Saccharomyces cerevisiae S288C: one gene and its partner. The gene in region 2 interacts genetically with the main gene of each other region. Each region holds a gene or a part of one and is shown on either strand. Other genes may lie near its edges.

Region 1 (3,547 bases), on a different chromosome or scaffold from region 2:
ATCCCTTGATGATCAGTTACTTTTACGAAGATCGTTAACACCGCAAGGTGAAAAAAAGAAGAAACCGTTGGTAAAAGGTAGTCTTTATCCTGAAGGACCTGTCAGTTACAAACGGAAGCACCCCGTAAAATCGGACAGTTTATTGCCTGTGTCTTCGTTAACAGCTGCTACAGACCCATCTACTTTTTCTGACGGTATAACTGCTGGTAATTCCGTCCTAGTTAATGGTGAACTGAAAAAACGTATATCCGACTTGAAGACCACCGTAATAGTAAGAGGACTAAACGATGATAATCCCAACTCTATCAATAACGATCCCAGGATTTTAAAATCTCTTTCCAATTTCTATAAGTGGCTGTATCCAGGTTATTTTATTTTTGTTCACAGAGAAAGTTTTCTTTATGGATTCTTCAATCACTCCAAGAATAACTATGAAGACTCAAGTTACTGTTCTGTCGAATTGATATATGCCATGTGCGCTGTCGGTTCGAGGCTTACACCGGATCTACAAGAATATTCAGAAGTGTATTATCAACGAAGTAAGAAGACTTTATTACAGCTCGTCTTTGATGAGCAAAGTACAGCCCGTATCACCACCGTCCAAGCGCTATTTTGCTTAGCCTTTTACGAACTGGGGAAGGGTAATAATCAATTAGGGTGGTACTTCTCGGGCCTGGCTATCAGGGTCGGCTACGACATGGGATTTCAACTGGACCCTAAAGTCTGGTACGTTGATGATAACAATCTGCAGCTGACCCAAAGTGAGTTGGAAATAAGATCAAGGATTTACTGGGGTTGCTATATAGCGGATCATTTTATTTGCCTGATGTTGGGTAGAACGTCCACATTAAGCGTTAGTAACTCAACCATGCCAGAGTCGGATGAGCTGCCAGAAGTCAACGGCACCGAAGAGTTCAGATTTATTGGAAGACATGTTTTACAGATATCCTTGCCTCTGAAAAACTTGATAATTCTATCAAGGCTTGTACAAATCTTCACCTCTAAAATTTTCATCGAGTCGGAAGATATAGCACGAAAACTAAAGTACTTGAACACTTTCAATTCTCAGGTTTACAACTGGAGACAATCTCTACCGGAATTTTTGCAATGGTCGAAAACACTCATCGAGAACGATGACGTATCCACAGACCCCACTATATCTTACTTCTGGTATTGCTACTACATAGTGCGGCTCACCTTTAACAAGCCATTTATAGAAGACTCTCAAGAATCCGAAACGGTAGTCATAGAGATCATCGATGATTTGAAGACTTTGCTGGACAATTTCGGGAAAAAATTCGGAAACTACACGAAGGGAAACCTTTACCAACTTTACTCATGCCTGTTGGCCATCAACTGTTTGAAGAAGTTGAAAGAGATACGTTCCAGTGAGCAAGACTCATGGAATGCACAATTGGATTTTTTCAATCACATCTTCTACACACAACTATATCCCGCATATGATCTGCCGAAAAAGCTGCAGGAGGATACGGAGCTGGAAACAGAACAAGAAAACCAGATGTTGAACCAAGTTGGAAATATAAACTACACGCACGATTTTTCACTCTCCCACGAAATTGACGATCTTATCAGAGAACTGTTTGGGGTGGGCACACCTCAAAAACTCTGACGATCTTTATATTTGTCACCTTTTCCGTATCGGCGGCTAAAAGGCGATGCGGTGCACAGGCGCGGGGTCCCTGGGAAAAAGAAATGTTCAAATTAACATTTCTTTTTCTTGTTTTGTGGCTCTTCTAGAAGGATTTTTAATCAGCATAGCCTGCGTTAAAATTTTTTACCGGATCTTATATATCTAAGACATCTACTCTGTTTAAATACTTAACGAACATCATAGAGAATCAACTAATAATATAGATTAGAAAAGAGAATTTTTTTCGACTGCGATGCTAGATAACATGCAATTTCATTCTCCAGCACCGGAACATCCTCAATTGAATGGGGGTATTAACAAAATTCCCGCTTCCCACAAAATAGGTTACAAATTAAACCAGCAAGTGCAGAGATTGGCTGTGGTCAGGAATAATATTGAAGAGAGATTGAACTCGATGGAATCCTCACACGGACAGATATCCGATAGTAGCGTTGTCCGTGCTATCGATGCAAGTATCGATGACTTCCTAATACCTTCACCTCCATTATCGCCAAAGCTGAGGCAATGCCCCATAATAAGCCAGCCTCAGCTGGTTAATGTGGAAAGCGACCATAGGGAGCTGATCATGTTGACCCCCGTTTGGGAAGCGGGCTTGAACTCTCAGAAGTACAACCATAATACAAGGAATTTCTTATCGCAATATAGCTTCTTCCGAGATATGAAAACAACGAAAAGGATTCCTAACAAAGAAAATAGGAAATTGAAAGTGGTAAAATCTGTTGTGAACTCAGAAGCTCTGCCCAAGAGAAGAAGATACGATAGGAAAATTAAGAGAAGATCAAGGGAGTTGTACGAAGATGATGGAAACAGGTCAGAAAACTATGATGAAGAAAGTGCTCAAGAAGTTCCAGTTAGATCAGTGACTCCGATACGTCAAGTTAAAAGGTCTCTTCATACTATTTCTTCGCCATTGGCCTCACAGGGCGTAGTGAATAATGTCCCCAAGTATATTCCAAGCATGTCGTGGGAAAAGTTGCCGGATTACTCACCTCCTCTTCACACTTTGCCGAATAGTAATAATAAAGTTTTAAAAGTGGAATGGAAAGGCTCTCCAATGGACTTGAATCATGATCCTCTCAAACAGCGTCTGCATCCTGCAGAACTAGTTCTCGCACAGATTCTGAGACTTCCATGTGATCTTTATTTGGACTCTAAAAGAAGATTTTTCTTGGAAAAAGTTCATAGATTCAAAAAGGGGTTGCCGTTCAGGAGAACGGATGCTCAAAAGGCTTGTAGAATAGACGTTAATAAAGCATCAAGGCTATTTGCAGCATTTGAAAAGGTAGGTTGGTTACAAGATAAACATTTTGAAAAGTATTTGTAAGAAAGAGGCGGTACGCCTTTGGGATAGCGTATCGTTTCATCGTTTAAACGAGCAAATTTGATAAGTACGGAATATGACAGTCTCATTGAGTAATACAGAATTGAGGCGTTTAAATGGTTATGGTTAAGGGTTACGGTTACGGTTTTTTATTCTTAGAACACATTTGATATATTTTTATTTATGGTTTTTTACATATAGATTTCGTTCATATATGAGGTTTTCTTTTTATATTAATTATATTTCTTCGGTTGTTACGTTATCAATTTTGTTATTGAATTATTACGGGTTATGAACGCCGTAGAAAAATAGCATTGGAGTTTGAGAGTCTGTGGCTTTTCTGTCACATCATTTTTTCGTCTAACTTAGGTTAACTCAGTAATCGTCGATTTCTTCATAACAGGCCAGGACCTTTTTTCTGTATTCCTCCATATCTGCATCCCAAAGTTCTGCTGCCACAGCGTTCAGCGGAGATCTGTTATTTGGTTCGCCAAGTAATGACTGCAATGACAATAGAATTGTTTCTACATTATACACTGCAGACCATTTCTCTT
Region 2 (4,078 bases):
GGATAGATTAATCGTACAGTAATCGTACAGTACTATGTCTTACTGATGTCGGGAATCTCAGGGGCGACCGCCCCCGGCTAGAATTATCTATATAACGGTAAAAAGAATAAAACTCTATTCTAGTTCTCGCCATTTACCTTGACTTTAATGAACCAATAAAAGAAATTTCTACAACCAAGACATCCAGAATGAATACAGACCAACAAAAAGTGAGCGAAATATTTCAGAGCTCAAAGGAAAAATTGCAGGGCGATGCAAAGGTAGTGAGTGACGCTTTTAAGAAAATGGCTAGTCAAGACAAGGACGGCAAGACTACCGATGCTGATGAAAGTGAAAAACACAACTATCAAGAGCAATACAACAAGCTCAAAGGGGCGGGGCATAAGAAGGAGTAGCTCTGTTGTCCTACTATCGATTATTTGTGCCAGCGGGCTCTGTTAGGTTGAGGGTGGAAAGTGTAGAAAAAGCAGACCTATTTGCCAGCGGATACATAGCCACAGCTCATACATAAAATTTTCATACTTAAGTCTAAACACAATAATATATTTTTTTTATCGAAGACATCCAAAAACTTAGTAATCGTCGTCACCACCGTATTGATTACGACCGCCTCTATTAGATGAACCATAAGAGTCATCATTGTTGGATGAACCGTAGTTGGAAGACCCATAGGAGTTCTTGTTTCTATTAGAGGAACCGTAAGAGTCGTCATTGTTGGAACCGTAAGAGTCATTGTTGTTGCTGGAGCCGTATGAATCATCGTTGTTGGAACCATAAGAACTCTTCTTTTTGTTAGAAGAACCGTAGGAATCATCGTTGTTAGAACCATACGAATCGTTGTTGCTGGAACCATAAGAACTCTTCTTCTTGTTGGAAGAACCATATGAATCATCATTGTTAGAGCCATAAGAATCGTCATTGTTGGAACCATAAGAACTCTTCTTCTTGTTGGAAGAACCGTAAGAGTCGTCGTTATTGGAAGATCCGTAAGAATCATCGTTGCTAGAAGAACCGTAAGAGCTCTTATTCTTGTTTGACGAACCGTAAGAGTCGTCATTGTTGGAACCGTAAGAGTCATTGTTGTTGCTGGAGCCGTACGAATCGTCATTGTTAGAACCATAAGAGCTCTTCTTCTTGTTGGAAGAACCGTAGGAATCATCGTTGTTAGAGCCATATGAATCATTGTTGTTAGAACCATATGAATCATCGTTGTTAGAACCATACGAATCGTTGTTGCTGGAACCATAAGAACTCTTCTTCTTGTTGGAAGAACCATATGAATCATCATTGTTAGAGCCATAAGAATCGTCATTGTTGGAACCGTAAGAGCTCTTATTCTTGTTTGACGAACCGTAAGAGTCGTCATTGTTGGAACCGTAAGAGTCATTGTTGTTGGAACCGTAAGAGTCATTGTTGTTGGAACCGTAAGAGTCATTGTTGTTGCTGGAGCCGTACGAATCGTCATTGTTAGAACCATAAGAGCTCTTCTTCTTGTTGGAAGAACCGTAGGAATCATCGTTGTTAGAGCCATATGAATCATTGTTGTTGGAGCCATATGAATCATTGTTGTTAGAGCCATATGAATCATTGTTGTTAGAACCATATGAATCGTTGTTATTAGAACCATATGAGTCGTTGTTGTTGGAGTCGTTGTCATTTATAGAGGTATTAGAAAATTGTTGACGAACCTTGGACTCCATCTTATCAAATCTGTCCTCTCCGATTTTGCTTTTGAATTGATTGACTCTATCTTCGCCGATCATATTCTCAGCTTTGGTAACATAATCGCCTTGATTGTTATTGCCAGAATCATTGTTGTTATTATTGCTGTTAGCAAATTGCTTCACTTTATCAAATAAACCCATTGCTGTTTTTTTCGTTCACTTATAATACCGTATATATCAGTCTATTAAAGCCCTACTCTACAAAAGAAAAAATTAATTGTAAGACATTTTCGAGAAATTCTTTTTTTATTACATAAAAATTAATGCCTTCTTATATAATGGAAAGGGGGGCGTTGTTAAATGAAATCTCAACGTGGTTGTAAGAGTTCTTGTACGACATTCTTTTCCTTTTTCCCTTTTTCGTCGGTGCCAAGCTTGTATGGCCACAGCTAAGGGGCGATTTGTCATCCTCGAACCTTCGGAGTGGTTTTTTCACCTTCCCGAAGGTTTTTAAAATCAACCACGCCAAAACTGTGGTGGGCCAGGCCAGCACCGGAAACCGCTTTGTACGCATTGATTTACGTCATATGCACCCTTCTCAGAATAAGAGATGTGTATGATTCGTACTTTTCAATCTCAAAAAGAAAACAGCACTAACGATTTTTGTAGATTTACAGAATGTATTTATGTTACACTTGTTTTTTCCTTCCTTCCTATGATTGTAAACGATTATTTACTATCGTACGTGCCTATATTCCAGCAAGGCTCTCTTGCAACCAGCCAATGGTTCTTTTCTTTACTTCGCCATCCTCATCATCTTTATATAGCCTTTTGTTCTCTAAGGTTTCTATCATCTCTTGTGCCGTTTTACCTCTCTCCATACCGTTCAGAATGAACTTGTACAATCTTTTTCGCCTTGAAAAGGTCTTCTTATTTTTATTGAGCCTCCACTTGTTACCATACTTGGCCTCAAGATGCTTGATCGATGGCTTTCCTCTTATTCCAGTATCATACTCTTCCCATATAGTCTTTACGTCAGTGGGAGCCTTCAATATCCTATAATGTAAATCAGAGTTTATGTTGGGCTTAGTAGCCGACTCGCCGTGAAGCTTTCTTCTACCGTTTAAAGAGTTACTTTTTTTATGATGCAAGCTCCTCCTCCGCTTGTTAATCGAAGCGTTCTTCATATCTGTTTCGATTTCATCATCTACTTCATCTTCCTCAGCAGTGCTGTCTTCTTCATTATCCCTTCCATCACCTTCGTCATCACCGTCATCATCATCATCCTCTTGATAGCCATCATCGTCGACATTACTTTTCACTGTCATTGGTTTTGGGTACGACGGTAGAGTAGAAGCTCTGTTTCTATTTACAATATTCGTGTTCACCCCTGACTTACCACTCGGTAACAATTCAGATGTCGTGCTATCCTGATTGATCAATTGGGAAAATGATAGAGGCTGCTGGGTATTATTTATAATAGGGGGTATAACATTTTGATTTGGGGGAAAAGAAGCGTTATCTAGGGCTAAGCTGGGCAAACTTAAAGCTGTTGTCGTGCCAAAGTTATTCAATGAATTTAAGTCATGAAATGAATTTGAAGCACTGGTGACGCCTGAATGAATGGAAGAATTGGTATAATTCATGCTAGTTGTAGAATTATGAGAATTCGTTAATGGAGATAGGGCTGATATGGGCTTTTGTGCAGCACTAGCATGGTCATTTGTGCTCGCATTGTTGTTACTTTGCGTATTTCTTCTGCGCCGTTTAATCCCATTTGGGTTCAACTTGAATGGCTTGTCAGTTGAAGCGTTCGGGAAACTAATAGGCGAGCGATTTACCTGCTGATGTGTATTTGTGTTATGAATTAAAACCTGCGACTGGTTCTGATTGGCTTGTGTGTTTATAACAGGACCAAGTTGTCGGTTAGGGAGCGATTGGTTTATATTTTGGGAAACATTATTTCGATTATGCTGCTGATCAGGTAAGATAGTATTTAGTGCGTTAGAAAATTGGTTGTTTAGCTGTGCAGTATTCGTATTCACATCTATGGTTCCATTCGTAGTCCGATGCTGGTTGATACCAGAATGGGTGTTGGAATCTCCTGTACATAAATCAGCAGTATGCTGTCTACCAGAGCCATTATTCTGCATTTTCTGCAAGTAAGCACTACTAACGGCTGATATCGAATTTAGCAATTCGATAGCAAGCTTATTTTGGGCATTGTTTGTGCTTGGGCGCGCGCTTGGCTGCGCAACCAACTTAAGTAATATATTCAATTTGTTCATAACTTTATAGTTATCTTGTTTTAGGTTTAAAACCATTGTATTCTGTTCCGCGATCTTATTAGATAACTTGTTGAAGCTTTCCTCCATCTCAATCATTCGGGCACTCATTTCGTCCATTCTTTGAAA

What was found.
Region 1: mutations in DDR48 (region 2) and YOR338W together harm fitness more than expected from each alone (negative genetic interaction), as found in Saccharomyces cerevisiae (one large-scale study listed by BioGRID).

The regions. Positions count from the first base shown.
Region 1 is NC_001147.6:954,994-958,540, forward strand, and holds YOR338W (uncharacterized protein), read left to right. Parts: upstream 1-1,904; coding exon 1,905-2,996; downstream 2,997-3,547. Other genes in the region: TEA1 (Tea1p), read left to right, coding at 1-1,630; putative E2 ubiquitin-protein ligase UBC11, read right to left, coding at 3,369-3,547.
Region 2 is NC_001145.3:606,476-610,553, reverse strand, and holds DDR48 (DNA damage-responsive protein 48), read right to left. Parts: upstream 1,866-4,078; coding exon 573-1,865; downstream 1-572. Other genes in the region: PAI3 (Pai3p), read left to right, coding at 189-395; HOT1 (Hot1p), read right to left, coding at 2,414-4,078. UniProt on the Saccharomyces cerevisiae protein: DNA damage-responsive protein that may be required for maintaining the rate of spontaneous mutagenesis. Shows low ATP and GTP hydrolysis activity.